Linked DNA regions of Arabidopsis thaliana. The protein of the gene in region 3 interacts with the protein of the main gene of each other region in a pairwise test. Each region holds a gene or a part of one and is shown on either strand. Other genes may lie near its edges. The genes, in order: HSFA1E, KNAT5, BLH7 and KNAT2.

What was found.
Region 1: the proteins of BLH7 (region 3) and HSFA1E interact in a two-hybrid assay, tested with the Arabidopsis thaliana proteins (one large-scale study listed by BioGRID).
Region 2: the proteins of BLH7 (region 3) and KNAT5 interact in a two-hybrid assay, tested with the Arabidopsis thaliana proteins (one large-scale study listed by BioGRID).
Region 4: the proteins of BLH7 (region 3) and KNAT2 interact in a two-hybrid assay, tested with the Arabidopsis thaliana proteins (one large-scale study listed by BioGRID).

The regions. Positions count from the first base shown.
Region 1 is NC_003074.8:670,430-677,960, reverse strand, and holds HSFA1E (heat shock transcription factor A1E), read right to left. Parts: upstream 4,534-7,531; 5' UTR 4,348-4,533; coding exon 4,102-4,347; intron 3,134-4,101; coding exon 1,973-3,133; 3' UTR 1,941-1,972; intron 1,841-1,940; 3' UTR 1,533-1,840; downstream 1-1,532. Other genes in the region: AT3G03000 (EF hand calcium-binding protein family), read right to left, coding at 76-573; MCC1 (MEIOTIC CONTROL OF CROSSOVERS1), read left to right, coding at 5,746-5,891, 5,972-6,116, 6,427-6,526, 6,627-6,855, 6,941-7,064; EXL6 (EXORDIUM like 6), read left to right, coding at 7,466-7,531. UniProt on the Arabidopsis thaliana protein: Transcriptional activator that specifically binds DNA sequence 5'-AGAAnnTTCT-3' known as heat shock promoter elements (HSE).
Region 2 is NC_003075.7:15,491,045-15,498,224, reverse strand, and holds KNAT5 (homeobox protein knotted-1-like 5), read right to left. Parts: upstream 4,237-7,180; 5' UTR 4,099-4,236; coding exon 3,556-4,098; intron 3,172-3,555; coding exon 3,051-3,171; intron 2,959-3,050; coding exon 2,759-2,958; intron 2,670-2,758; coding exon 2,538-2,669; intron 2,457-2,537; coding exon 2,317-2,456; coding exon of another isoform or gene 2,313-2,316; exon of another isoform or gene 2,232-2,312; coding exon 2,216-2,231; 3' UTR 1,844-2,215; downstream 1-1,843. Other genes in the region: AT4G32050 (neurochondrin family protein), read right to left, coding at 3-96, 368-463, 566-669, 849-985, 1,122-1,272, 1,410-1,605; AT4G32030 (uncharacterized protein), read right to left, coding at 5,218-5,406, 5,510-5,578, 5,658-5,720, 5,816-5,872, 6,939-7,180.
Region 3 is NC_003071.7:7,100,769-7,108,030, forward strand, and holds BLH7 (BEL1-like homeodomain 7), read right to left. Parts: upstream 3,161-7,262; 5' UTR 2,647-3,160; intron 2,473-2,646; 5' UTR 2,433-2,472; coding exon 1,881-2,432; intron 1,796-1,880; coding exon 1,416-1,795; intron 1,335-1,415; coding exon 1,274-1,334; intron 1,178-1,273; coding exon 722-1,177; 3' UTR 501-721; downstream 1-500. Other genes in the region: DRD1 (SNF2 domain-containing protein / helicase domain-containing protein), read left to right, coding at 1-324, 411-414; AT2G16405 (Transducin/WD40 repeat-like superfamily protein), read right to left, coding at 5,147-5,260, 5,366-5,442, 5,553-5,674, 5,807-5,982, 6,162-6,272, 6,382-6,429, 6,636-6,775, 7,015-7,152 and 1 more.
Region 4 is NC_003070.9:26,573,369-26,583,567, reverse strand, and holds KNAT2 (homeobox knotted-like protein), read right to left. Parts: upstream 7,083-10,199; 5' UTR 6,934-7,082; coding exon 6,661-6,933; intron 6,421-6,660; coding exon 6,286-6,420; intron 6,213-6,285; coding exon 6,074-6,212; intron 1,912-6,073; coding exon 1,670-1,911; intron 1,579-1,669; coding exon 1,423-1,578; 3' UTR 1,137-1,422; downstream 1-1,136. UniProt on the Arabidopsis thaliana protein: May play a role in meristem function, and may be involved in maintaining cells in an undifferentiated, meristematic state. Probably binds to the DNA sequence 5'-TGAC-3'.

The DNA.
Region 1 (7,531 bases), on a different chromosome or scaffold from region 3:
TCTTTGATTTGAGGATGAAGCCAAAAAAACAAAACACAAGTATTTCAAACTATGTATATATATACCTTTCTTTCTTCAACCCCAAGCATTATCAAACGCAGCTGAAGTAATCGCTTGAACAAACTCTTGGAAATCAATACAACCATCGCCGTCTCGATCAGCTTCTTTGATCATTCCCGTTAACTCCTCCGCCGTCAACGCGTGACCTAGCTTCGCCATCGAATGGGCTAACTCCGCCGCCGTTATGTAACCGTTTCCATCGCGGTCAAACATTCTAAAGATGGCTTTAAGCTGATCATCCGTGTAAGGACACTTGACCAGATCTGGCTCGACGAGGGCGACGAACTCGGAGAACTCGACCAGTCCGTTGTTATTCCGATCTGCTTTCTGGATCAATGTGTCGAGTTGGTCTTGACTCGGCTTTAGACCGAGAGATCTTAGAAGTGAGCCTAACTCGAGCTCCGTCAAACTTCCATCCTTGTTCTGGTCAAATGATCGGAATATCTCCCGGAGCTCCGCTAGTTGTTCGTCGCCTAGTTTCGCCGGCGCCGGTTTGCCTCCGTCGCAGCTCATCTCGAATCTGATTTTGAATACTGTCAAGCTTCGATTTCGATGAACAACATTTTTCTTTTTAGAGTTGATTTGTTTCTTCTTGACAAGTCAACGATGACAGGTAATGGATTACAAATTTCAAACGAGTAAAGATTTTGATTTTCTTATTAATGAGCAAGAGAATAAAAATTTTATTTTATTTAAATCAAATAAATGATTGTGGATGGAATACGAAATTTTTTAAATTAAATTATTAATTGAACCAATTATTGGAACGGTCAAAGGTTGTTCGGTGGAGGGAAAACAGTCGTGCTAAGCGTTAATTCACCGGAACTGGTTTGTAGAAATGGATGCCAAAAGATTTCTTGACAATAGAAAAATGTTATAGCTTTGATTCGTATTTTAAAGAAGATAATATTTTCGACATTTGTTAGCTATATATGAATCGAGTGTTCGACATACGTTATATATTGCATGCATGAATGTTCAAATTTTCTTTCAGAGTAACTATTTTATCCTTAATATATGGTCTTTATCAATTCTTTTAACAAATTACATGTTTATTAATGTTCATATCCTCTTTTAAAGCAATATATCCATGAGATATCTGTGAAATTTATCATATGTAAAATATTTATATAGTTTTCAGAAATAGATATATATCATATAAGCTATATAAATTACAACTAATGGTAATATCATATGTAATGTTGTATGTAATGTTAAAAGCAAGTTTAAGATTGATACAAACGACAAATGGATCTGGTTCGGTTGCAGTTTCAGAGCTTAACATATGCATGTACATACACTTTGATTCCGTGTAATCAATGACTTGATCCTTTTAAACCACTTTGTTACTATATCCACACGACACACGTTCTTCCTTTTTACTCTCTCTTTAGATGATTTCCTTTAGACGAAATTGGAACATTAGTTTTACTCAAGAAACTAAAAGTGAAGGACTGATAAAAAAACACTAAAGCAGGTAAGATTTGGCCACAGGTTAACCAAAATGCCAATTTTTGCACTTAATGTAACAAAAATAAACAAGGATCTCTAAAGACATACACAAGAACAGAAGAATATCTCTCACTTTGAAGCATCTCCTTTTCATTCTGTCAGTAACAAACAAAGATATTGCAATGCAAAAATCTTTTAAGGCAATATTTCTCTTATTTTATTATACATTGACAAGAATTAGAGTTACAACAGTTTGATACATACATACATAGTACCTCCTTTGGTCATATTCTTTTTGTTGTTGCGGCTCCACAAAATCTTAACCCATCTGCGATAACAAGACAAAGACGAGGGGTTTGGTTTTGCACAAAATTTAAATTTTGGAAAGTGTGTGGTTTATAACATATCAATATAGATAGACTGATTACCTCGTGAGGAAAGATTGTGGCCTGTGGCAATCTCATTTTCTGAGAGCATCTGATGTGAGAAGTCCCATCTGTTCAGTAAGATGGTTCATTTGTTGATTCTTGCTCCACACATTACTCAGGGTTGATTGTAACTCTAGTTGCTCCAATATCAGTTCATTTTCCACTGATCCTGAGATTAACTCATCTGTCTCACCAATCACTGGGCTCTCACCAATGAACTGTTCCCAAAAAGAATCTTGGACTTCAGGAAGCAACTCATTTAAGGTATCAGCTTCTAGTTCGAGTGCGCCATCCAAAACAGCCATTATTGGATCCAAACACTCTCCATTATCTGTCTCGCATCCAACAAGATCCGAACTTGAGCTCCCAGAAGCTGCTGCTCCTTGCGTTGGAGGTAAGAGATCACCTTGAGAAAAAGGCAAATTGGTCTCCATGACTTGATTTGTTTCACAAGGCTCGTGGTACTTCATTGCAGGATAGAAGCCTGCAGGAATGGATGAAACATCTGCCAATGTAACTTCAGGTGATCCATTTGAGGAGCTCCCATTGTCTGAAATGTTAGAATTTGGAACATCGCCCAAAAGAAAGCTACCATTATTGCTTGAGAGAGATTCATGGCTAGGTGCATTACTCATCTGCTGTATCTGTTGAAGCATAGTGTTTGTTGCATCGTTCATCGATGACTGATATCTCACAATCTGGCGGCTAAGACCATTAACCCCATGACTGCCAGAATTCATCTGGTCCTCAACAGGTAGCCTCCTCTTTTTGTTGCTTTCAGAAATGTGTTGGTTTGCTTCATTACTCTGCTGAGAAAATTGGTTTAAGAAACCTGGACTTTGGACAGCCTTTGCTAGAAAGGACATCATCTGTTGCTGCCTCTGCTCCATCACATGAACTTTCTGCCCCACATTCTGCAGATGATGTTCGGTAACTTGTTGTTGCTGCCTCAACCTTACAAGTTCCTGCATAAGGACGTTCTTATCGCGCTGAAGTCTTTCCACTTCCTCTTCGAGTCCAAATTTGCCCACTTCAACGCACGCACCCACAGATGAGTGCTGAACTTGAGGTTGTTGTGGAGGCTGCACTTGTGCAGGTTTTCGCCGGACAATACTCTTTAGTATTTGCTTTTGGCCTCTTAAAAAGCCCTCGTTTGCAAACTCCCAGCGGTCTGGATCAACTTTTCTAAAACCCTGAAAAAAAGAAGCATGGAGAATGGAACAGTCATCAACCGCAAGAAGTTACTTGGATTCCGTTGCAATAGGAAGCCAACATAGAAGATTTGTATAAACATAAAGACCATTAAATACGTTAATAACAACTATTCTAGATATGGTATGATACGTTCACTGGGTCTAGCTGCAGCACCAAACTACCATGGTCCAAGGAAACTAATACAGTTGTTAGTGTATCGGCATGTACCTGGACGGACAAATACAAACGAATGGAAAGCTAACATGGGACAACTGATAGAAATTTTGTTTTGTGACTTAAGAGGCCAGAAATGGAAGTGCTGAATCAACCAATCGTCAGACACATATGAGCACATGTCCAAATAAGCCTGCAAAGTTCGTGGAACCTTTTGGTAAGTAAATAAGAACAGGGGAGGAACAAGCTACGCAAGAGTATACACTTGTTAGTTTTGCTTGACCTAAGAAAATTCATTCCAGCCTCACAGACACGGATGCAAGCTCAGATACTTAGAAAAACAAAAACATATATGCCTGCAGTTCACAGGGTATACATGTACAAAAAACAACTGAAGAACAATACAAATATGTGAAATTATCTTGCACGAGTTTGTCAGAACCCAAAAAGATCCAATCTTAACAGTTAGTGCAACTAAAATCAACATTAACACAACCTACTAGACGTGCATAGTTCAACCACCAGCGTCAACAACTATATAGGAACATCAATCAGTAGCATCATACTATACACTAAATAGGAGTCGACTTCTCAAAGCACCTTCTTGCAACCTTAAATCATTCGTGAGTTTTATCAATAACTAATGCTTAATTCAACCACAAAAAAAACAAGAGAGTAAAATAAAAATGAAGCACATAAAGTAAGATTCCCTAAAATCGAACTACGAAATTGAAGAAAATCGAATCAATGAAGAGAAAAACAAATAAAAAAGAATCGATCGAAGTTCACTCACATAAGTATTGAGCTGTCTGACGAAGCTGGAGAAATTGTTGTGCTTGAAATACTTTGGTAGAAACTGTTTGGCGAACTCAGGCACGTTCCAAACCACGAAGCTGTTGTTTCCGCTGCTCCAAGACACCACGTCGTCCGTCAATGGATCGTCAACCATATCGTACGTTTTGCTCAGAAAAGGCGGAATGGAGCTCATCACCGCCGTCGAAGATTTCGCCGTCGCTACAGATTCGCAAACCGTTCCCATAAATCAAAATCGCAATTGATTCCGGTGTACCGTCTTCTTCAACAATTCCGAGATTCACTACTCCGGTCTTCGCAAACCTTACAGAGATTTATATTCGAAGATCATCTCTTAGCGACGAAGAGAAGAAGAAAGAAGCTCTCTCTCTCTCTGTCTACACTTATATTAAACTCTGGAGATAGCTTTTACCTCTGCTCTTTTATTTATACACTCTGATTTTTTTAATTCCAGAAAGCGGTGGAGTTTCGCAGAGTGATATAACGTGTCGTAATCTCTACCGTTGATCTGATTACCTCTGCAACGTCCGATTATTAAATTAAAAAATTAGTTTTGTTGTTAAGATAAGAAATACCACGTGGGCTGGACTAACGTGCTTGGCCTTTTTAAAAAAACATTAATTAACGTACGTACCTGGTCTTTTTCTGATTAACGTATCTGGTCCTAAGCTCTTTTTTTCATACGTGGCACTGGACTCGCGTTACTTTTCTCAATTTTTTCCATTTGCGTTTCACGTTTTTTTTTGGATAATTTTCTGCTACTCAAAGTTTTGTTGTTACGAAAACGTTGAGTCTCTCTCTCTCTGCTTGCCGCCGAGACGGCCAATAATTTTTTTTTTAAGACAATATTTATAAATCTGAAATAAACATCGATCCAGATTTGTGGATTATAGAAATCTTATCAAATTTTATAAGATTATTTCTTTCTATGATATCTAACGGCTCATCATGTAAGACTAATCTAAATTTGTAACGAAGAAAAGTGGAAAACACATAACAAGTGTATTGGCCCGCCTAATCGAGTTAATAGGGCAAGGAAATTCTCCTTTACTGCCTAACTCTTCTCCAGTTTGATTTTTATTTTTTGTTGTGGAGGGGAATATTTTAAGGTTCTCTTACCATAGTACAGACTTATAACGAATAATAATAAAAAGCAGATTATGAATCGAAAGTACGAATTTTTTCAAATCCATTTTTTTCAGATAGAAAAAACAGTACGAATTTTTATTGTTAAAAATGGTTATATTATTGAAAATGGAACAATTTTTCATTTAAGAGAATCGAATATTCCATTCATAAATAGTACATTAGTACTCTCCTTCTAAAAGAGGCACGTGATTGGTTGTCGCAAAGCACACGAGCCAAGATGCTTCACTTGGAACGAGAAAAAGCCCCAAGAGACAGAGGAGAGGGCAAAGCAAGCAAGCACCTTTTTCTTTCCCATGCTCGAAACTCGGTTCTTGATTGATTCCTTCGCCGAAGATTAACCAATCAAATCCAAACAAACCCACTCAGATCCAGATTCGTTAAATCTATCCGGATCCATTTACTTCAACGGGTCGGATCCAGTGATCTGGCACTTCACAATGGGAAGTGGCTTTTCTGGTTCTTCGGATACCAAACAATGTCGCGATTTCCTCGAAGATTCATAGATGATTCATCAATGGAAGATGCAGGAATCTCTCTTTGCCCAAGTATTCACTATAGACCTATAAACCCTAATGATCTAGATCGTTTGGAGCAAATCCATCGCGATATCTTCCCCATCAAGTATGCATCCATCTACTTGGATTTTCCTATGTTGGTGTCTTGTGAAAAGATTTCTAAAGTATTGATTTTTGTTTTGTCAGGTATGAGTCTGAGTTTTTCCAGAGTGTTGTGAACGGAGTTGATATCGTCTCATGGGCTGCTGTTGATCGGAGCCGGCCTGATGATCACTCTGATGAACTTATTGGTTTTGTTACTGCCAAATTTGTGCTTGCCAAAGATAGCGAGGTTAGTTTTCATTCTATGAATTCGTCTTTTTGTAATTCGAACAATAATGATCTTTCAGGTCCTGTAATCACCTTGAATGTTGAACTAGTTCATAATGCTTATGGTTTTTGGTTCGTCTGTGATCATGTACACTAAATAAAAGTTATTTCACTTGTCAAAAATCTTTAGAACAGCGGCTTGTAATAATGTCTGAATTATGATTGAATAATCTGTTTTGGGAGCTCTGGTAATGCAATTGAGTCTAGTGTTGTTTTTATCTTCTTATTATCTATCTTCATCAGCTGGCAGATGGTTTCTGTGTCTTGCACAGATAGATGATCTTATACATTACGATTCCTCGAAAGGAGAGGAGACTTTGATATACATCTTGACACTCGGAGTTGTAGAAACATACAGAAACCGTGGAATCGGTACATGACTCTTATAATACTAATAAGTATCTGAAACATGTTCTATATATTGCTTGGTTTTATAATTTCTGATGTTTCTGCAACTTTTTTTAACTCTCAGCAATGTCACTTATTAGTGAGGTAATTAAATATGCTTCCGGTTTATCTGTGTGTCGCGGAGTTTACCTTCATGTGATTGCACACAACAATGCTGCGATCTGTTTGTACAAAAGATTGATGTTCAGATGCGTGCGGAGATTACATGGATTTTATCTAATCAATCGACATCATTTTGATGCGTTCTTGTTTGTCTACTTCATCAACGGTTCTCGAACTCCTTGCTCACCCTTGTAAGGAGATTTACTCACAGACAAAACAAGTCTTTGATTCTCTTGTACTCTATAATGGTTTACAACAATTTACTGTAATTTGCAGAGAGGTGGCGATGTTTGTTGTGAATTATATGAAGAGTGGTATCAAGTCAGTGGCATCTAAGCTGGCTAACAAGGATGAGAAAGGTTTGAAATGGCTGTTTTGCAAAGACACGGATTGTGTCTAACCCTCGCAAACCAAACCGAAGCTAGGGTCATCATCAGCGTACGAATTCATTTAACTTAAAACTATATTTCCCATTCATTTGATTTCTCATTGTGAACTCTGTAATGAAAAGGTAAATAGTCACCGTTAATGTACTGTTTTTTGGGTTTTATACGCTGATCATTACGTGTTTATAAGGTGTAAGGAAGTTCTTATGAGTTTTTCACCACCCTTCTTAAAATAGTTAGCTTGGTTGAAAATAGCTCTTTTGCTTCATTGGCAATTATCCAAAAACAAAATCACCAGCTTAGGATGTCAAAAAATAGGTTAAACGATAATTTTATTTACTTCCCTCAAAAAAGCCTGAGAAAATCCCCATCAAAGGCCAAAAGAACAGAAAAAAGTTTTTTTCACGCGGTGGCAATGGCAATGGCGTCTGCTTCTTCCTCCTCCTCCTCCATATCCGTCATCATTTTCCTCCTCTTGGCG
Region 2 (7,180 bases), on a different chromosome or scaffold from region 3:
ACCCACACGGTTCTGCAGAATTGCCACAACACCTGTGCGCATATAGTCTGCCCAATTGTTGTCGGGCATGGAACGAAGAGGTTCATGAAGAAGTTCCTAAGCATAACGAACTTCTATGAGAGACATATAAAAAGATAAGCACACAAAACAAAGATGTAGAGCTTCTACAATGGAAACATAACATGCATATTAAATAACATCAAGACGATGAAGGCAACTGTATTTCTCCAAGTAAAGGAAAATAAAACTTTAATTTTTCCAATTTCAATGGACAGAAATTTTGAAAATTTAGCTGCATTAAATCTACATAAATCATGCTAGTAACTATAGATACTTTTCCGGAGGAAGTTAAGAAGTGAAAACTCACAGAATACTCTGACGAGAAGACTGCAGACAGTAAATGGAGTGCTTCAAACTTCAGGGCATTATGCAACACCGCAAACTGCCGTGCAACAGCAGCAATCTGAATAAAAGTTAACATTATGTTTGGAGTCCAACTTCAGCATTGCAGCTTTAGTAAGTATTGCGAAAAGAAAACAAAAAGTAACCAAGTAAGTAGACTCACCACCAAAGACAGTTCTAAGAAGCGTTCAATAGTCATGCTCCCACAATCAAGCTTACTAACCAATAACTGCAGAATCTTTATAGCAACCTCCATGGCATGTGAACCTGAATAACATGTCTCACATTAGCTCCCAGTGAAAAACTATTATCAAATCCATCTACCTCAACATGGCACGTTTTCTTTGACACCAAATATAATCAATCCGAAATAGCATTCAATGGAATCTAATGTGCATCATATACACAACAAAAGAATGTAAACCCAATGAAAGAGTATGTATTACCATCAGGTAACTCAGACATCTGGGGAGCTATCACTCTCAAGCCTCCAGAGTTAATCAAAGTCATGAGACCAGCTTCACAAGCCGTGGACACCAAATACAGAAGCTCATAGCAATCTTCGAGCATGTTTGTAGTTATTCTGAAATTCCAAAAGCCAATTTCCTAACTTTAGGCAATCACAATATGCAAAAAGTTGAAGACACAGAAGCAAAGCTTGATTAAAAAAAAAACTTCATGGAAAGTCGCAAATGCAAGAATCAGGTGATCTAACATACCCTTTGGACATTACTTCGAGAATAAGGGGAATTCTGGAGACCATCTCTTCTGAAGAAGCTATCTCCGGAACACGGCAGAATGCAGCAAGAACAGTGATAGATATCTGCAGATACACATCACGATTATCAACCCCATCGCCACTGCCACTACCTGCAAAACAAAAAATCGAAACCAGTCAGAGCAACAAACTTTAGTATCTCAACTAAAAAATTCACACTTTGTAGAAACCCCAAAATTGATATTAGTATTTACTGAGACAAAGATCAATAATTCGGGGTTTTGATTACCAGTACGGAAAAGACGGTCGAGAAAGTGAGTACCAACGGCTTCGTAGACCTTGTTGAGAGAAACGATGTCATCGTTCTTACAGAATTTGGTGACGAGAAGTAGACCGGCGAGCCTCTGCTCGTCTCTCTCCCCTTTCAATAGCTTAAGGCAATCGTCAAGCGACGGAGATCGTTCCTCCTGTGGTGCTGCTGCCATAATCACCCAACTCAAAGAGTAACAAAAGTAGACCAAGTCGAGAGAAAGGTAAGCAAAAAAAACTAAAACAAAAGCCGTTCGTTGGAGAAGCTGAAGGAAGAAGAAACAAGTCATTAAGTCGGCATTCAGATTTTGGGCCAAATACCAATGGGCTTTGTTAATAATACAAGTGAAATCATTTAAAATTATCGATATATTAAAAATTGAACCATATAAAAACCGAGCCGAACGTAACCATGCATCAACCGGTGAGAGAAATCAGACGAACACAACAACATCGTAATACTACATTTCAAGCTAGTTTAATTATGATAAATATTGCTTGATACATTCATTACAAACGAACATATTGACACTTTACAAGAAAAAACCCACACTTGCTTAAGCGTTCGTTACAAGACGCAAACCAACGAAACAGATCACTTCCAAAAACTACTAAGTCGTTACAAACAACAATTTGGACTCCAGAATCCGGTTTCATAGGCTAACCGGTATCCACTATACAAATAACACACTCTGTACGAGCATAGAACCGGATTCGTTTCTTTCATATACGGTTCCCAAGAATTCACATGGCAAAGAACCATCCTCTAGTTAGCCGCTATGTCACCTACGACTTCCCGGTCCTGAGTTTGGTTACAAAAGAAGATCTTGACCGGGTTGGTTTAATGAAATTGCGCAATTTGAAAAAGAGAACGGATCTTGTTTTACCGTTTACGTTTGTTCTTGGTGAGAGTAGATGACGTGGAAGAGTTGCTGTTCCAGTTTCTTTTCCTCTGGTTGATGAACCAATTGTTGATCTGTTTCAACTGCAAACCGGTTTCTTGAACCAGTTTTGCCTTATCTTCCTCCTGCAATTCCAAAACCAAATCACGAATTAAAACCTTGCTTTTGACAATGTGGTAACAAAACTTCTCGGCCAAGGTGTTTACAGTTGGGTATGGCCATTTCGAGTGAGTTCGCCACCATTCTTTGAGTACAGAAGTCGTATCTCCTGGCAACTTTCCCGCCCTTCTCTTCCTCATTATCTCTTCTCTTATGTCCACAATCTTCTCTTTGAAACCCTACAGGGGAAAAAAGAAACCGAGCAACATGATTTAACAATGTGTTTTGTATAGTTTGATGTACCATTGCAGCTTGATCAAGCAATTACCTGTTTAAGCTCATGCTTCAGTTCTTTCTTCACACGTTCCATCAAAGATCTCTCTCTCTCGGTTGGAACAAGAGGACCAAACCCCATCAAGCAATCTGAACCGTCCAAACTTCCATCAAACATGTTCACCTCGCTCTCTACTTGATTATCATCTTCATCATCCGACATTGTCTTACCATTACTTTCACTTGGAGAAACTCCTACAAACCAGAACAAAGAAAAACCGATAAAACCAAGACACACATAAAGCAAGAAGACAATAACAAAAAAAAAAAATGATTTGGGACGTTACCAGTTAGGGATTGCAGTGATTGTTCAATCTCCCAACAAGCCGTAATGGCTTCCATTGCATGGACACAAACGTGGTGTTGGAGTTGTTCTTTAAATGAACATAACAAGACAACATAATGTGACTGCATCAACATAATAATCAAAGGTAAGATTCCAATCCATAAGACATACAAACAGAACGTTACAAAAAATAGATTATGCTTTCTTTCTCTTGGACATGCAAAGTCCTTTTCAGCAAGAATCAGACAAACTATTAGTCATCAAAGAAGAAGCTTTATGCAACAAATATAACTTATTTGAGTCAGACAAAGTTCATAATTCGAATTACAAGCTAACCAAAAAAGTAGAAGCAAAGATCATATCGATTGCAAGACTCGAGAAGCGGGAACAATGAGCCACACAAAAATGTGAATTTGCTATACTCAGATAATCAAAGAGAAATAAATGGCTGAATCGTTCACAGTTCAAAACATTAAAATTTTGCAAAATTAGAAAGTGAAACTTACCATGAAATGATCAAGTTCCTTGTTGTCAACAACCACACCAAGAGTGGAGTATTTCGCGGCGACGGTATGCAACTGACTGAGCTGAGCATCGATCCTCGGAATCTGGTCAACGGGAGTCGCAACCCTAAGGCAAGCCACGTGAGCCGCAAGAAGCTGCTCGTACATCGGATGTCTTAAAATCGCCGCCTTATAGCTAGCACTCCGCCAATCTTCACCTCCTACAACGCCGAGTATCGTTTCACCATCGGCGTTGACTCCGTCGATAACTTCAGAACGTACTTCTCCAGTATTTTGCATCTCCGAATGAAAGGAGAGCCAGCGTGGGTTTGTATCAGCAACGGAATTGTCTCCGTTGCGGTGCGGAGGAGCGAGATCGGAATCCGCAGTGGTAAGGGTGGTAGGGAGGTTGAGGAAACTGGCGGTGACAAGCGAAGGTGTTTCAGAGAAGTGACGCTGCGGCGGAGGTTGCTGTGATTGATCGGTGAAGTGTCGGAGAGGAAGGTCTTCTTGTGGAGGAAGGAGGTGGGAGCTGTTAAACGACATTGTTTTCCTGCGTTTTTGGGATCGGAGAAGAGAAGACTGTTTTCTCTTTCCCCTAGTTATTTATCTCTCTGAAGACCAATATTTTTTAATTAATCTTGAATTTTATATTTATATATATTTTTTTTTTTTTTGGACTCTACTTCAATCTCTTTGTTTTAATGTCAACATAAAGCCTGTAACCAAAATGAAGCATAAAATAACTCAACCTACAAGAGCCTGTAATTCTGTAATTCACAAGTTTTGTGAGCAATGATTTGCTTACAAAACTTCTGTTCTAGAGTGTAATTTTCTTCTTTAGGTCTTTATTCTCCAAATTATGATAAGTATATTTACCATTAAACTCATTGTAGATATTTTTAAAACCCAGATATTTTTTTCTTTTTTACATGAAGGAATGTCATTTTTTTTTAATCTCTATACACAAAAGACTTGGGATCCATGAAAAAGAAAATAAGCTCATAAACAAGTTGGCAATTTTTTCTCAAATTTATTGGGCATTTAAAAACGAATCTTTTTCCATGAACACGCCGACAACCCACCAATAGCATTACACCTCCCAAGTTTATATTATAAAAATTCAAATTAAATAGTAGAAAAATGAATGTCCAAAGAGATTGATAGATCTTCTTGTCTTGGATTAGTTGAGCGGAAACTAGGGTTTTAATATAATAATGTATGGAGAATAGTGAAGAAGAAAATGTTTGGAACATAAAAAGTCTATTAGTTGTCCTACTTTTTCCTCTTTACAATTTCCAACAAAAGCTTTTAAATCGGTACAAAGAGAAAGAAAGAAAAAAAAAAGTAGTTAATTTTGCATTAAAAATTGATAACACCATCTATTTAAAACAAATTTTTTCTTCTAACACATCAAATTAAAGAAAACAGAGAGGGAGGGAGGGAGGGAGTAAAAAGTAAAAACCTAATTTTCACCCTCTTCCTAAGAAAAAATCAAGAAGTAATTGAGCATTTTACCCCAAAAAAAGAAGGAAACGGAAAACCAGAATGTGACGGGAGAGTTTCATTACACCACTTATTACATTCACTTTTCTTAGTTGACATCTCTAGCTCCCTTCTTCCCTTCACTATAATTCGATCGCAAATCTTCATATAGGCCAGTTTTTAGCTAGTTCCGTACAATATCTCTTCCTCGGATGGCGCCATGTTGAGATCAGGGAGGACGAAGAAACTCCCCTGATTTTGCGAGTCACTGGTTTTGCAAGATTTTGATCCCTGTAGCCGCTCGAGTTGTGATTTACGAATCAAATCAACAGGTTTCTTGTTTGTGACACGGCCTGAGTTTAAGTCAAGCTGAAACAAGAAAACACAAGAGTCGATGAGACCAGCAAATAGAGAGAAGGGATCTGGAATATCTGATTACTGTAAAGATGGTTAGGGAGAATCTAAATGTTACCTTAATCCTCTTCAGCTTTTGGTTCCTAAGGTTTTGTTCATCGAATGTTGCTCGGAGACTTGCAATCTCCTGTGGAAAAATATTGGGTTTTTTTAAGAATACAATGAAAACCATGATAATAAAACAGAGAATAGCAACGAAAATCTACCTTTTCAAGGTCAAGTCTCTCCTTCAACTTCAAGTTCTCTTCATTTTTAAGCTCAAAAGATGACTGCCAAATATTAAAAGAATAAAAAACCATCAGCTCAATAAAATTTGAATTTTGGAGTGTGTACTTGAAATTCAAAAAGGAGACTTTATATTTACCTTCCTCTTCTTCAATCTCTTGGAGAAACAACTGGTGATTTCGTTTGTGGGAAAAACCTGCAAAACAAAAACGCATTTGATTAGTCAACTATTAAATGGCTGAAGATAACGACAACTGTTTTACTTTTATAATCAATACCCAAGATCTTATTTTAACATACCGGTAAAAAGTTTCTTTTCCCACAACAGAAATTTCAAACAAGTAAGAAAAATATATCGAAGAAACCAAATAGAGCATAAAATTAAAAAATCTCAAATATATAATTGGGAAAGAATTTTTATAGTGAGGATTTGATGCCACATCATGATTATTCCGTGTCATGGGCATTGTCATCTATCGTCATCACTCTTTTAAAGATCACGTGATACCAATCTCTCCGACAAGATCATTTTACTCGTTTCAACTTTCAACCCACAAAACGCTACCGTCTCGAGCATCAAAACGTTCAATAAAACGCGGACGCGTTTGACCAACTAGCTGTTAAGCTGTACTACCCCCAAAATCTAAAAGGAGCTTTAATTATTCCTCAAGACAAAATTAAAGTTGACCGATTTCTAAAAATCCACATCTAACCGGCCACGCAAGATCCGGTTCAATGCGTACCGAGAAAAACAGGTCTCTTATTAAGCTTTGTTACAGAAGATTAGTAGAGTTTTCTAATTACAAAAAATGAGCAGAAAACAAGGAAATTAAGCTTAAAGTGGCTTTGACTTTTTGGAGATTAGATGAATTTAACCTAGAAGCAGGATGGCTCCGGCCGACGGTGTCATCGGCGAATCACGGCGGAGGAATTTTTTCCGGTGAATTTGTTAGAAGTTGAAGAAAACAGACTAAATACGTTCTAGTGAGAATTGAAGCGTGCGAGAGATGACGTCAGGCTAAACTTTATGGATTTTAGGAAAAAAAATGAAGAAAAACAGAGAGACGGCCAAGGATCTTCTCAATTACGAACGGCTAAATCCAGATTTATCGGCCAGATCGGAATCGGATTATCCAGCGAGATGACGGATTTGCCATCTCTCCGGAGCTACCGGATTCGTAATTGAGAGAAAGAAGATAGAGAGAGAAGACTAAATCGAGAGGCAAAAGTTGAAAATCACGATAGGGAAAAGAGAAAGTTACCTTAGATCCAGATCCTGTAGATGTAGAGCAGCTAGCTTGGCGACTGTTATCCTCGAATCCATCGGCGGAAGGAGAAGCAGAGCCGCCACCACTTCCAGATCCGCCGCTCCACGAGAGAGGAGTCTTCGGACTGGCTCTAACGGAATCGACATCTTTCTTCAAGGAAACGAGAACGCCGCCGCCGCCACCAAATCTTGAGGAACGAGACCGTCGTTGACGGATTCCCCACCGCAACGGAGGGA
Region 3 (7,262 bases):
TATCTCGCTTGTTGGAGCATCTCGCATACTAATATTGGATGTTCCCCTAAACCCTTCTGTGACCCGCCAAGCTATTGGGCGAGCGTTTCGACCCGGACAAAAGAAGATGGTGCATGCATATAGATTGATTGCTGGGTCATCACCTGAGGAAGAGGATCACAACACTTGTTTCAAAAAGGAAGTCATCTCAAAGATGTGGTTCGAGTGGAACGAGTACTGCGGATATCAAAACTTTGAGGTAGAGACGATCGATGTGGATGAAGCTGGTGATACGTTCCTCGAAAGTCCTGCCTTAAGAGAAGACATAAGAGTTCTCTACAAAAGGTAAAATCAGTTTAGATCAGATCCACACATAACTCTTCAACTCACATTTCTCTGTTATTGAACTTCCTTAATGCTTCTTTTTTCAGGTAAACGCAGACAGAAACTTGTGCTTCCGCTTTTTGGACATGCTTAGGTTTTAGAAACCTGTCAATAAGATAACTTCGGGTAGATCCTTTTGAATTTTCTGAATGATTGTTAGCATTTTAAGTGTAATTTTAATGTCAAAACATTTGATCTCATGTACCTCTAACCATATAATTAGGTCTCCTCATGTTTAAATATGAAACAGATCGTGTCTAATCTCAGATTGTCTCCTCATGTTTTCTCATTAATCTACAATTTCGTTTTTTGGGTTTACTTTCACAAAAGAATCCATTTCTACACCTTTCTATTCTCCTCAAGCTACAAAATCATGCAACAATTGTGAAGAGCCAATCTGGTGCTGGTGGTTGCGAGAGTTTAAGTACTGTAGATCGGTTCCCGAGATGGTATTCTTGTAGTTATCTATCCCACCGGACATAGGAACATCGCCACGAGCATCGGAATTCTGAATCCCCAACGTTAAAGACATCCCACCATTACCATTTCTTGTCATGTCAGTCACCATCATGAACCGGTCACCACCATGGGCCACTGTGTTTTGTCTCATGCTACTGCTTGCCACACCAGGTACATGCCCATTGTTGGAACTAGACTCAGTTTGCAGCTCTTGAATCTCGGTGATTTCTGGTGTGTTTTCAGAAGACTGGTTGGGATCATTCTCCTGCAATGCATCTGTGAATTCCTCCTTGTACATCTCCTCCACCATCGGTTTCCAGAGACGCACACGCGCATTTATGAACCAGTTCGATACCTTTCAACAATCATCAAACGAAACAATGAAAAATGAACACACCAGAAAGAAAAGTATTAAATGAGAGAAACGGCACAAAAGCTAACAGTGCAATACCTGGCCTCGGCTCAACCCCGTTTGTCTAGCGAGCATGATCTTGTCTGAATCCTTTGGATAACTAAGCTCAAGGTTTTGAAACAAATGGTCAGAGTCTCTTGTGGTCAATCAAAAAATTCACAAGAGTAGTAGAGAGACTTACGGGTGGAGGAAATGCTCAAATAGCCAAGCACGGAGAACCAAAACAGAAGAATCTGGTAAACCGCGTTGAGGCCGCCAAGTGTGAGGTTGCATCACACCTAACCGCTGCAACGCTCTTTGTTGCCTTACCTGTTGATCAACATTCCTTAACCTGCTTATCCCCACTCCTCTCCCATCTGATCCATCCTGTTCCCCTCCTAAACTTTTCCTTATCACCAAGATTTGTCCGGATATCGCATCCCTTAAGCAACGGAAATGCCTCGAGATGGTCTGAAGCGCAAGGGCTGTGTATGGTTTGGCTGCTCCACATCCGGCTATTACATCGAAAGACGACACGACTATCTGCATCTGATGGTAATACTGCTTGTAATTTCTATCCACCTTCAAACAACAAAGAAACAAACAACATTTATGTTACCACGAGAATCATTAACAAGTGTAGAAGATATGTTGTAAGGCGGATTACCTCGTCTAATATCGATAAAAGTTTCGACAACTTGCTCTGCAATTCTTGCCTCTCTGCTTGAGGGATTTCAGCAGTATTCGTCTGAAGATTCTTCTCTTTCACTTCATTAATCTTATCTCCCTCTGGCTGAAACTGCTTTAGAGCTTTCTTAACATTAACAGTTTCATCAAGAAGCTCTTGAGCAGCTTTGAGATACTTTGAGTTGTGAATGGTTCGAGTAAATCCCGAAACAACCTGTGTTGCATACTCATTGTTATTATTGCCTCTCGATGTCTCAATCTGCGAGCTGAGGCCAAGACGCCTCATCACCGGGAAGCGATTCCTGTCATTGTCTTCTTGATCTCTCCAAGAACCAGAATCTTGAATCTCAACCATTTGTGAAACTCCACCAAGGCTTGACAACACTTGAATCTCTTTTGAAGGTGACACATTATTAGTTGAATCTCTAGGAAATGTCTCTGTGAAAGAATTTGTGTAGTTCATTGCGTTTCCAGGGACAAATTCTGGTCTGGAATAAATCTCACTTGAGCCAGTTTTGTAATAAGTGGCCATAGTCTTCTTCTTCTTATGATCAGATCAAACAAGGAGTCATCTGTTTCAGAATCAAACACAAACAACACTAAACCCTTTTTATACTTCACATTATGTAATAAAATCTTAATTAAGCAAATTTTAAGAAATTGAACCAATGAAAATTATGAGAATTATCTCTCTGCATGAATTTAAGAATTTAAAAAGAAGAAGAAAGGATAGATTAAAGAATTACCAGGAAAGCATCTGCTGGCTTTGTGGGTGTTAAAGGAGACACTAAATCTCAAATTGAAGAAGGAAAAAAGAAATGTTTTTTTTTTTTTGTTTTAACTCTTGATGATCCCAAGAACACAAACTTAACAACAAACTCTTTATCTCCTCAAATCAAAATCTTGATAATACAAAATGTTTTACCCACACAAAAGATTCAAGAAAACAAAAGATCCATCCTCCTTAAAGCAAGTTTCCTTTTTGAAGTAGAGATTTCATTAAAAGCTGGTTCTTGAACTTGCTTCTTGATTCTTCTTCTTGTTTCTTGGAGTCAAGTCTTTTGGTGAAGATAACAAAAACAGATCAAAATGTTTTCAAGAGTAAAAATGTGGTAAGGAGATTATGTTCTTAACAAACCAGTTGGTAGAGATCTAAACCCTTTTCTAAAACCTAATCCTAAACCCTAATGCCTCTCTCTTTCGTCTCTCTGGCCTTTCTGTTTGTTTGCTGCAATAAAATTGAATGAAGCTATAACCACCATACAATCATTTTCTGTGTTTTTTATATTCTTATCTAAAAATATTTGATATATTCCTGATTGGTGTCAATAGTAAAAGATATTTTCGTAATTCTTCTATAATAATGTGTTTATCAAGCATATTTGGAGAATAAGACAAATATATAATGAACGTTTTTCATATCTAATTTTGGTGCTATGCAATTTTTTAAATATTTCATGTCCGATTTGTAATCAAAGATAATATTAATTTTTGTGTAGACTAGTCCATCTTTATTAGAGTGGGGAATAATTTGGGTAACGACGTGTCAAAGTTTACACACGGATGTTTTTTTTCAACTTCTTTTCAATAAAATAATTTCACTTTTTTGGTAAGCTTTTTACAGTTTCTTCTTCTTTGTCTTTAAATTTCACTTTCAAGTTTCAACATTTGATTTTTTTTTGTTCTTTCGAATAATATCTGTGATGGTCCACATGCTATTTACTATATAGTTGCATTTGCATACAACTATTTTTGCAAGGAATAAACAAAAAAAAAACACTTCATATTCTTATCTCTTTCTCATAAATAATGAATAAGTGGCCTTTTTCCCCACTTAGCTTTGTCTTTTTGTGCCCACAGATTTTAGGTATTTCTACAAATTTTCTAACTTTTACTTTCTTTTCACTAAGTGTAGGTCCATATCTTGTCATGGAGGACTTTACGATTACGAATCAGAAACAAATTGAGAAAATCCCAACTCCAAGACATTTTATAATAAGTCTGATTTGTAGTATAAGGTGGTACGAAATGGTGGTAAGAGGTAAGTCAAATTAAAATGTGTGGTGAGATATCTTAGTGTGATAGAAAATGGTGGTACCACCTTTTCTTACCAACACACTGAAAGGTTATAGTTTTTGCATGGAGAGACCAAAATAGACTTTTTGTGAATTAAGTGATTTAGTTATTTTCTATGAAAAAAAAAATTACGAAATACACAAGAGTTAATTTTGTGGGAAAACATAGGTAAGCATTTTATTTAAATTTACACTTCAAAATATGAGAATAAAAACTTGAAAAGAAAATAAAAATAGTAAATTGGGGTGGATAAGTGAAGAACGTGAAATGATGGGTAGCGAAGAGAAAGAAGTCTGAATTGGGACAGAGATGGCAGAAGGAGAAAGAGAGAGAGAGACCTGGACAATGGACAGATAGAGTCAGTGGATAGGGAAGAGTGTCTTCATAATATACGACGACCAACCAACCCTTCTTCTTATTATTATTAATCCAATATGAACATGACGCCGAAGATATTTGCTTGGGAAATAAGAGAATTGTAAATGTTAAGTTTTTATTAGTGCCCTACTTACGTTGAAGTTGAGATTCTATTGCTTTTAGTAAAAGAATTAATACACAAAACACTCGGATTCTTTTTGCTGGTTGAAATACGTTTAATTATTAGCATGATTATCTAGTCCAACCACTTCCACACTAATATAAGCACCAAATGCTCATCAGTTACATAATTTGAATTCAATATAATCCTAGAGCCACATTTCTCTAAGAGAACCAAGTATCATATTCCATTTGGTCCCCTGAAGAATTAGATGAACCAGCTTGCCGGAACTTGTTGAACCTGGGTCTCTTGGGTGAGAGCTGAGTATCTTGACCAACTAGACTACAATGGAATGTTGTTTATGTAATCTTCATTAATTTTACTGATAATTAATCTGGTTCATGATAATGTGACAAAACAAAAAACATTGCGAGTACAATTAACTTGATCTCTTCAAATTGTCTACCAACTTATCTATGGAAAGAGTTATTAACTCATTAAGGACGTGTCTGTTCCAACCATTTAAGCTATTGAATCTGTGCATAGGAGTGTCACAGAACTATATCTTTATAAGAGATGGGAAACTAAATTGACACAGTTTTGAGATTAGCGATACAGAGATGATGCCAAACCCAAAGCCTTTGTGGCAAAAATGACGGATTTAGATTCATTTATAATATTATAGACAAACCTTATGAGCTTGTCTTTGCTCTTTTCCATACAATGACAACACCATAGAAATCAGACGAAGCCAACAAGTTCTCCCCATGGTTCCACGCAACACACATTACTGGAAACCTGTGACCCTGCAAGCATCCATTTCTCACAACTCGTGAATCCTGTTTCCTATAATTCAAAATCCATACACAAAAGTTTCAGATAAAAAAAAAGAAAAGAAGTTATTGTCTAACCTGTAGCTTGTTTACACATGTGTGCTTCGGTTTGGTTAGATCATAGAAGTAGACATTCGAGTCTTCGCTTCCAGCAACTGTAGTTTCAAACAAGAAGAAACGCGGAGAAAATGACTTGCACTTCTCAAGAGACCTATGAATCTACTATTACCAAAACTATAGGTAAATGAAGGATTGAAATTCAAACCTATGTATTCTCCTTTCTCTAGTGATAATAGCGGGCAAAACGATGCTTGGATTCTGTGTATTCGCGGGGCTAATTTGAGGGAGCAACGCAAAGTCAAATAACCTTTTATCTGAAGGGCAACACTGCATCACCAACACAAAGCAGAAAAATCAATTATAAGGATCTCTAAGGACCTTGACAAAAAAAAAAAAAAAAAAAAGGATCTCTTAAGGAAAAACAAGAAAGAAAAAAAAGAAGTAGTTCTGTCGCCAAACCTAAAGAAACTCAAGTTTCCGTCCTGAGTACATGTGAGCAGAACAGGGCCTGATGCCAGGAGGGAGAAGCTTCTGTACTTCACAGTGGTGACAGGAGATTTGTGATTTGTACGATGACGATGAGACCGGGATAATGACCCTGTATGCGAATCCATGCTTACTGAATATACAGTTCCCTGCAATTATTATTAACTACCTTGTAAAAACAATGTAGAAATGCCTTTTTCTAGCATACCGAACAAATGCAAAAATTGATCAGTCTTGACCACAACATAGGTAATCGGTATAGCCAACCATAACCATAACAGACCATCTCCCTAGTTTTTATCTTTTTACATCAGTATAGAAAAGTTACCTGCCCATCTCCACAGAAAATTATTTGGCCAGTGTGATCATGGTCCATAGATGTCACCTCATCCTCAAACAACAGTTTTTTAATAATTCTCCCAGTGCTGAAATTGAACACCTACTTTGTCAAGCAGAGAGATGTTAGGCATAAAATAAGTAAACAATTAGAAAACAAACGAAAAAAGCAATACACTAATGTACTTAGCTACAAGGAGTAGTGAAGTTACCGTGAGTTCCTTGTTTGCATTGCCAGCAGAGAGGAAATTGTTATTAACCTGTTGAAAATATGGAAATGAAATATCTTCAATGGAGAAGCAAGAGAAAACAACAAAAACCATCCGCACTCAGTATCTTATATGAGACGACTTTCACAATCAAAACAAAAAGTTGCAAGTTGTTACAAGGGAGAAATATATAGATGATGAAGAACATCTTTGACAAAAAAAAAAAAAAAAAAGATGATGAAGAACATCAAACTTACAGGGTGGAAACGGATACAATACTGTGGAGAGATTCCATATATAACTCTAATACAAACGCCTCTTGACAACTCCCATACTCGTATTGTCTTATCAAGTGATGATGACGCGATGTATTGATTGTTTGACGAGAAGTCAAAATCTGATAAGAAGTTTGTATTAATATTAGACATAGGATCTAAACCCAATGACATACATACACACTTATGCTCTATCCATTACAGATAATTCTTTTACATTTTCCACTCAAATCTTACCCCTAACAAAGCATAGAAAGTAGGTACCATGTATCATCATATTCTCAGATTATTCAAGAGCAATTCAGTGTAGCAGATACTGAGATACAGAAAAGACAAAAGTAACAGTACCAGTCAATCGAACCTGTGACATCTTTAGAGTGACCTGTCAACTGCTTGAGGACAGAAGGCTCTTCTAAGAGACTACAAACTGTTAAGCTTCCATCTGATGCTCCATATGCAAGTATATCAGAACTCATATGACCAAACTTGAGAACAGTAACTGCATAAAGTTAGACATACTCACTCTTAGAACAAAAACCACAAAGCGAATCGACGAAACATAAACAATAATATAAAAAATTACCAGAAGATTTGCATTGATCGAAGATG
Region 4 (10,199 bases), on a different chromosome or scaffold from region 3:
AATTATACAATAGACAGAGGAAGATTCCGGCGAAACTCCAAATTTCTCCGGTTTAACACACCAAACGGGGGAAGATGAATTGCGATGATAGGAGACGACAAGTATAGAGAAGAGTCAAAAACGAATGAAGAAGACGGAGAATTTCGGAGGAGTTGCAACAAAGACGCAGCAGCAACTAAGGGCTTTTCAGACGAGTTCACGGTGGTCTTCGAATGGGCTTTTTTCATTGGGCTTTCTTTGCTACAAAATCCAACAAGGTATTATTTTTCTTCAATTATTATTTTTTTTTCTTTTCTCTAAAAAATATTTTTTAGTAAAATTATAATTAAATAATAATAGTTTTCACTAAAAATTTAGAAACAATTTAAAACTTAAACTTTAAGATAAATAATTCTTAACTTTTAACTAAAACCATGTATTTCACTATTATTTTTTTAAAATTAGTTTAAGTGTTAAATTTTAAAAACGTCGGGAACTAACCGCGCCTAGGCATCCCGTCCTTAATTGGTCTGTAAGTCTTGAAGTGTTCGAAGTTCGGTAATGTTTTCACGTAATATAGATTTGACACTTCAACTCATTTTTAAAAAATAATAATGATTTTCACTAAAAATTTAAAACCAATTCAAAACTTAAACCTTAAGATAAATAATTAATAATTTTTAGTTAAAACCATGTTAATTTTACTAATACTTTTTAAAAATTAGTTTAAGTGGTAGATGAGGCTTGAATAAGTGTATAAGAAAAACAAAATACAAATCGTTGAGCACAAACTAAAATCTTGTTATAAACCACTGAGAGAAGCTAGATAGTATAGGTAAGTTATCTTATGTATCATACTTGGTAACAAAAAAGAAGTACTCAATAATTCCAGCCCTAGGTGCAATTTCTTCAACCCACCCAAGCTTCAAACATTTATCTTTACCACCCCCAGTAACTTCCCACATCCTTACTGTACGATCTTGAGAACTGCCAAGACAGATATTTGAATAGCAAGCAACAATTGATCAATTAGAGACATTGATACAAGTAGTATAAGTAGGGCTGGGCATAAAATCCGAAATCCAAAAACCGATCCGAAAAATCCGGCTCCGAAACCGAGCCAAATAGTCACAAAATTCGAATGGATAATGAATTCTTCTACCCGAATGGATAATGAAAATAAATTATTTAGTTGACACATCAGCTATCTAAGTAAGGTTCAATACAAATAAGAAATCTATCAATTTGGATGATTGGAAGATTAGTGACATAATATTGCCACTATTTCCAATACAATGTCTCGTTACGCCCTTGACCGTTTTGGCTAACGGGTTCCATTCATTCGCGATGATGCCCCATTTACCAAAAGCTTTTTACTGTTTTCTTTTCTTGGAAAAACAGTGTAAAAATTATACAATGCACAATTTCATGTCTCTCTTTTCATTACTCGGTAAAGAATGTTTCATTAGAATCGTCCATCATATCAAACGGCATGTTCTCCGAAGGCTTCCAATGGCGTTTCCTTTGGTTTATAAACCAATTGTTGATTTGTTTTTGATCCAAACCTGTTTCTTCAGCCAGAGATATTTTGTCGCCTTCCTATACACATTCGAGAGGCGGATATTAATATGTCGAAGAAATAAATTAATGAGTGTATGCTAGGTTACGGTGGAATCAGAAAGACACTTACAGTAGGGTAAGGCCATTTATTATGAACATTCCACCAATCGAGCAACGCTTGTCTTGCTTCTCTTGGTAGCTTCCCTTTCTTCTTCTTTTTAGAGAACTCGAGTTTCAATGAACTGATATGGCTACCAAATTTGCGTAGTAGCTGGTCCTTCAGATCGCGGTCATTGCTTCTTTGTTGGCTGTCATCCGCTGCTATGTCATCATCTTCTCTCAGTTCCTCGTCAGATGAAACCGCACCATCATCTGCTCATACATGAGAATAATGTCATACAGAAGATTCAATAATGATTAGCTCCCACGTATTAGCCAAATACGTGCCATACCGATAAAATGTACTAGGAGAATGTATGGTGGTGCTATTTATGGTAGCATATTTGACAATGTAGAAAGCAAATTCTACCACTATGCCAACACTAACAAACATAGCTAACACTAAGATACTAGTAGGCTCGGCTAAATGACTAAGTGGCTAAAGCAGCTAAAAGAAGAAAAGAGCCAAAAAAGCATAGAGAAGAGAACAAGGGTGAAAGAAAGGAAAAAAAAAAAAAAAAAAGGGTGAAAGAAAGGGGTAAAAGGGGAAAAACAAGGATAGCGAGATAATATCGAGGTTTTACAAGACCCGGGCACAAAAATGATCAGTCAAAAACTTTCGCAGTCACTGAATAGTTTAGCTTCCATTGCCACTGACGTGCTCCTTTGGGACTTACCACTAGCCACCTGAGTCACGACACGTATCACCTTTCTGACACTTGTTTGAGTGACCCCCGGAAAAAACGCTTCCCCAACATTTATGAACTTTCTCATAATGCCCCATTTATGACCATACCATACTGACCCCTATGTTACTGCGACTAAAAGGGAGCCTAATTAAGGGAGTTTAAACATGATTAATGGTCAAATTATTTGCATTAATAGAAATTTCACTTAGTATTCTCAACTTAGTGATTACAGAAAGACATCGTTTCAAAGTCTCCCTAAAGAGTTTAGGTTGTAGTTTGCTACACCACTAATGAGCTGATCCTTAGACAAATCACACAAAATATAGTTCACACCCTATCCATGAAAACTTTGCTAGTTGAGGATGGTATGTGCAATAGTAACTCGGTTTGTTCTTTACCTATTAGCCGAATTTGGTTCCTATATAACATCAAGACAATGCGAAAGAGACAACATGCACTGATAAAAAAAAAGTAGATAGACTTGTACATCTCCCAAAAAAAGTTAAACACGTGGAAATTGCATGGCCCATTAAGGGAACAAACGCAGAGAGGAAATGACAACCACTAAGCAACAGTAGAAAAAGATGTGGAGAAACATTAGTCGTAAGATGATTGCATTGTACATAAATCAAAACCCATGTCTCTCCCCTATTTTCTTCTCTTTCTTTTTCTTTAAAATCAAATCAAATCTTAAAAAGAGAGTGTTGCGATTGGGTCATAAAGGGATCCACCAACGTAATCCACGGGAGTCCATGTGACACTTGACCACCTCATGCTTCTGTCTCCAACTTCTTCTATTTAGAAATTAAAAAGGGCTAAAAGATTTCTAATTCAAGCATTTGGGTGTGTTTTTTTGTGCGTGTCAAAAGGACCATTCTATCAACGAAGGTGATATAACCAAACAGATTATCAGTATTATCATGTCTAGAACTGGTGAAGTAACTAATGTGCCATGACAGAGTATTTTGTTCAAAAGAACATGCTTTTCGAGTTTCCTACGAACATTGAATGAATAGAATATCATTCACAGCCAAAGATATATCTAGGGTGAATGCATAGGGACCTAGGGTGAATGCATTTTACAACACAAAAATACTAGTTGTAGACTGTAGTGAATAATCTTAAACAATAGTCCTAAATTCCACATATGGATACAAAATCGCACATGGATCTCATTGTATCAATACACCATCCGAACACCAAATGATTAGAAGAAAATATGAGGATGGAACAAAAACCATGGCCAAGATTGACCATCTTAATCACGAAAAGGGTCAATTGCACACTAAAGCGAGAACGAAAAAAATAAGTAAACACAATTGCTATGACAAACATCAGTTGACTAAAGAGGATTTGGTTTATTCCTAAAGCATATTAGCACGAAAAGAAACCAAAAGCACATGACTCTGAAAACTACATATTATGAGTTATACTATTAGTTTAAGATATTCAGTTGAAAAGAAAGTCCTTTCTCGGGACTTAAGAAACAGAAAAAGGTATTGACCAAGGAAAAGATGTTCATAAGGTAATATATATTCCTTCAAAATCATACATGAGATTACGCTAAAAAGGTAAGTGGTACTTCAAAACCATTAAAAAACTAAACATTCGTCCAATAAAGATAAATTCAAGCTGCAAGTGATCTGTTTTTCAACCTTTTGGACAAGATTATTCCCTATGTAAACTCCAATTAATTAAGTACGCTGATAAGTATTAACAACTTTTCGGAATTAAACAATGCTAACAAAGTACAACCGAAGCAGCATTTGATATCAACATATAAGAAAAAGAAGACTATTAAAGCTGAATTCCACTATATTGTAGTTCCAATTTTTTTCCAGCTAGTTCTTATCAGGTGGAGATGAAGAAGTAAAATGATTACTTTAAAATCCCTAAGATAGTGAAATACTTTACTTATAAAAAATATACACACGTATTCTGACAACATGAACGTGGCTAAGTAGATTAGTGTAGATTAACAAGAAACTAATTTTTGCCCTGTTGGAAAGGTTTAACCAATATAAGCTACAAAAACAACACAAAGACAACTAAAATTACATTCTTTTAAGAAACCTACTATTCCTTATTTGGGCTGCTTGTAAAATACTTACAAAGTTCTATTCTGCTTAATTAAGAAAACAAATGGTGGAAAAGAAGGTACCATTAAGTTTAGTTTAATACCTCGGCAAATTAGTAAACCTCACTTACATTGTGTAAGTGTCTTAATGCATTTCAATCATTTATTTATTCACATAAAATTCCAACAAGAATACAAGAATAACAGACACATTAACCACGACATGCAGAATATACAAGCCTCTTGGCCATCAAGCATTTTTATGGACTTACATGCGCATGAGCTCAGATTAACTGAAATCCAACAGAGATTTGGTTTAGCTTTTTCGAGCTAAAGAAACACAAAATCCAACTATTTGACCTGATCAAGACACTTCTTTGGTTTACTAAGTCAGATAGGTTCGTGAAAATTAATCACACCAATGATTTTGTACATGTAATTTGAACACAGTGGACTTCAAATGTAAGACCCTTAGGTGCAAATACAATGTATTCAAAAATAAGGGCTAGTGTCATTAATTTTCACATACACTAAGAAAACAAATCAATCTTATGTTATACTCATTATACACAATAAATTTTTATCTCTCTAATAGTAAAAACTAAAGTGACATGGATAAAACTTAAGTCTGACACTTTCTATGGAAAAGTAGTATAAACTTTGGTTCATTCACCAAGAGAAGTTGGAGTAATCAAGAACTAGTAAAGTTTTGTTTTACCCATCAGTCTCTTAATGAAGATGAAAACAAGCGATACTACTAGAGATCTAAACATGAAGCCAAGGACAAACTCAAGAAAAATCAGTGGCATTTATTAGTGGAAGTTATGACTAGGTTTTTTCTCTATGATTGAATTTTCACTGGAAATAAGCAATTAAAAAACTTCCAGTACGACACTGAAACGTCAAAATCAGAATCTCTAGCGCAAAAGTTTTTGCTTTCATAGACCCATATTTTCTTCTGACAGAGGAGAAGATAATAATACAAGTATATATAAAAGTAACAAAAGAAAAGTATACCATACCAAAATCACTAGGAAAATAAATATCACTAACAGAGAAAATCCTACCCACCGGCTTTCCCCTAATATCCGCCCCACAGCTTAAACCATAGCTAATGATAGAAAATAAATGTCACAAAGATGTGTGAAGGTCATGGATCTATCTAAAGCATGAATGACTTCTACCAAATATAAAAGATGTGGCTGAATCAATCATTGTTTTCTAACAAAACTAGGGTTTTAGAGTTTCCTTGTTTTTTTCTGACTTTTATTGCCTTGGGTTGTCTAAACCGGATCTACTAAGCTCCTCCTAGTTTCAGCTACAACAACTTATCGATTCTCGTTTTCTTTAAGGAAAAAAAAAACAGTAGAAGATTTCCAATTTTTCCATCAATTCCAAGAAACTGATCATTGAAGCACAGAAAGGAAAAGTTATCTGAGGATAGATTTTCTAATCCGCAAGATCTGTAACTGTAAGGAGAAATTTGCGCAAGGATTTTAAAGGACACACAAACCGAGGATAGTGCTCAAAGATCAATAAAAACACTAGCTAGGAAACAAGAAATCAAAAGTACACTCGAACAAGAGATAGATATCACTTTAGTGCTGACCTGAAAGAGCTGTAGCAGACGCTGGACCAGTGCACAAGTTCTGAAGCTGCATTTCAATCTTGTTTATGAAAGTTGTAGCCTCGTCGAACGGCCTCGCAAGATCGGTTTTGTATTTAACCAATATATCACAGTAGGTTTCCTAGAATCACACCACAAAAAAACAAAATTATATTTTAAGAAAAACTAGAAGATCAAAGTTCAAGGCAACGAACAAAGTGAGAAACCATGAATTCATCAAGCTCAGGATCAGCTCCAAAGCAAGATAATGGAGCAACATCTCTCTTGTACACATGGTTCTCTCGCTGAATCTCTTCCAATATACACGCTATTTCCATAGGCGCTCCCACCTGTCAATCAATAACCAAAAAAAAAAAAAAATCACTCTCACATATAAACACAGTCTCTCTAGTTCTCCAATCTTATCTTAGGGTTAAAGTGGAATAGAAAAAAAAAAGTAAGAGAACTATCTTTAAATACGACGATGAATACATGTAAAATTCCTGACGCTTAATCAAATTAACCTTGAAAGCACAAAATCATACACAACAAGAAAAAGAAAAGACAAAACACGAAAGCAGCGAGATCACCTTTTGGCAATCGATGTAGGTTTGGAGTAAGCGAGGATACAAAGGATGAGAAGCGATTTTGGATTTGATGACACTAAGAGAGAAATTATCCTCAGCTTTTCGAATACGCGGAAGCAACTCCGAGGACAAAGCGGTAGCGAGTTCGTCGGATCCAAACAGTCTTTGATTGTCTCCGGTGGTTGAACAAATCAAAGACTGATAATCGGACGGCATCATCAACGTCGCTTTCTCCGAATAGTCTTCCGTCGAGCGGAAACCACACATTCTATCCATTAATGTGATCGTAGTGAGATACGATCAGTGATCGCCGCTTCTTCGATCCCTAGCCTTGTGCTTGCTTCTGAAGAATATGAAGAAACACAAAAGTAAGAAGTAACAAACTGCTTCAAAGAGAGAGAGAGATAGAGACAATGGAAATAGATAGACTGGCCAAGTTGAGGCGGTCTCGTAGTATAGTAGTCTGAGGGCAATGATCGTAAATATTTCAGCAAAAAACCAAAAAAAAAAAAAAATGATTTGTGACGAAAAGCAAAAAAAAAAAAAAATCACGAATATGAATTTTCATAGTTTATTATGATAATTTACAAGTTTTTCTTAAAGACACCATAATTTTTATTTTATTTTGTCGTACTAGTATAAAAGAAGAAAGATTTCAAGGGTTTGCCATATGTGTTAAGGAATACGATTCGAGTGATTATAAAAAGATTTCTTCGTGATTCAAGAGCACTTTTTTTAACTGTACGATTACATGGTTACGATTATTTTTGATATATAATATTATCGCACAAATGATCAAAATAGCACGCTAACCTTTAGAATTTATGACTTAGCTAATGAAGACAACAATTAGTACTTGTTAACAAAAACAGGTTAGACGATGGTAATTTGAATTTTGACAGTAAAAACAAATGATGGTAATTTTGTTAATTAATAAGCTTTTTGTTTCAATTACGGTGGCCGACACCTACTAGGCTACTACGATTCTAGTTGTCTAACCGGATCGGTTCAACTTCAATTTCACTCTTTCAATTTTCACCTAGTTTTGTTTCTCTGTAAAACACGTCTATGGTAGCTAGGTGCTCATTATCAATCACAACATAGTAAACAATTTTTGTTTTTTAATTGCTTTCAGTCATTTGCTAATTAAACACACTCTTAGGAACTATTTTTTATAGTGGCCACTCCACTTATCGCACTTCTTGTTATTTTCATAGAGAATCTGTTAGTCGCGTATAATATCAACTCAAAATGTTTCATTACCTTATATAGTAACAGAACCTGCAGTTTTTGTCATAAACCAAAATCCATCTATAAACCCTGTTGTAAGAAAAAAAACTATATTTTTGCATGGGTCTACTCCAGACCCGATCCGATGATCCATATCGTTTTTTCCGCAAAAAAAAATAAAAACAAATGTCATAAAGGTCTTTTTGATGATGGACAGGTTTGATTGACACATCCGTCGGACTACTTTGGTGTGAAATTTAACTGACATAAAGCTTTGTTTTAGTATCAAACCTTATAAAAACGACAGAACTTTCCTTCTCTCTCATTTCACTTCGTTGGATCGTATCGTATTGAATCCCCACCGGTGGCCTTCACAGCACATATTTATATTGTTTCTAAACTTTTCTGTATTTTTTGGGGGGGGTCACAAGTTTCTATAATCTATATGATCACTATCGTCGAGAAATGATTGCAAAAAAAAAATGTGTGTCTTGCAGAAAAAATAATAATAACAAAAAGTGACGACTAAATTATTAGATCAAGTGCATATAATTATGTTGCTAAGATAATATTGTACCACTCGAATGTTTCATCATGGATTGTTCATACTGTTCCCGTGATTTAGTGTTGTTAGGTTTCAATTCTTTGTATTGAGGTTTTTGTTAATATATTATTGTACCACTCGGTTGCTTCAACTTTGTAGGAGTTTATTGTCATTCTTTTTTGTATCTCATATCATCAATATGTGGTTTTGAACAAATTTGTTTCTGTTGTTAGAAATGTTACTGAAATTGGAGATTACTTAGCTTCTTATGGATTTTATTTATTTATTTTGGGAATCCCAGGTCTTAATACTCTCCTTTGGTTGTTTCTCTTTCTTTCTAAGTAGTTTTATGCTATACAATTACATGTTATCAAAATAATCTTAATATGGTTTATAAAATTTTATATGCTTGTCTTAATATGTTATGTTTTAACAAATATTGTTTTTAGTCATCTCTACATAACGCTTGTAACGAACTGAAATTTGAGATTACTATACTAAACACTGAGAGACTCATTTTTAATTAACTAACATATAATTATAACTTAACCAAAACATATCAACGTACCTGTAAGAAAAGTGGACAAATTAAATAGCCACCAATAGTTTTTTTTTTTTGTTATGCAAACAACTGATCACAGAACCACTTGATCTTTTGTCTCTTCAGCAATGGTTGCACCAAAACTTTGGCCGGGGACTTTATAGACCAAAAAAAGTAAAATATGGATTATTTTAACTTTTATACTGAGGAATAAATCTTTTGAAATGGAGCTTGGAAACAGTGGAGAAGAATAGTTTACTGGGACAGGAAACATGAGCATCTACTAAATCTAATACTTTTTTTTGTTAAAGATTCTAATCTCTTTTTCTCACGTTAAAAAATTGCTGTTGACGACAAAAAAAAACCAGCTTATTATAAATTACTGTTTAGCTCATTGATTTTATTCCCATGATCAGGGGATGTCGTGGACATGCATTAAAACGAAAACAATGCTAAGCATCCTGATGCAATGTGTTTTTGTTTCTATTTTCAAATGTTTCTTATGAAGTGGTCCTTTGCGTTTTGTCTGTGGTCCTTCAAATATAAAATTTGTCTTTCTTTAATTTCGTGGAAGTTTGCTTAGAAGAGAAACTGTTCTACCATCTTCCTTCTATTCCTACTACAGTATAGTAAAATTAGAACATTGTAGAAATCGATAAAATAAAGTTCGTCTCGTTTATTAATTTGTAGTGTAACTTTCTTGCTCTGTTTTTTTATTTTTGGTGCTAATTTTGCTTATGTATTGTTATATAAGTTATAACAACAATATAATAAAAAGCGTTACATTTCAAAAATATACACCAATAATTTTGGCACTCACACTATCAAATGTTCGTTTACATCAGAATTAATTGATACTTACACGTACAGAATAAATGCAGAAACTTCAAATTGAAAATTTAGTAGAGTCAACGATAAGGGCAAGGGAATTGGGCTCCAACTGTGCGGGTGAGATCAAAAACTCAAAAGATACATTAATGGAAAGTTAGTTCTACTTAATTAGCTCAGGTTAAAAGATTACGATCTTTGTTGATTAACGTGGCACCATTTTGCTTATCTTCGATTTTGACTCTATTTTTATACACCTATAACAATTATTTCTATAATCATAAGCCTAAACCTTTTGGTTAATGGTTATGCGTATGGCGCATTTGACGACGTAAACCTAACTATTATTATTCTAAAAGTGCAATTACTAGCTGACTTTTTTCATTGGTGAGCTCACAA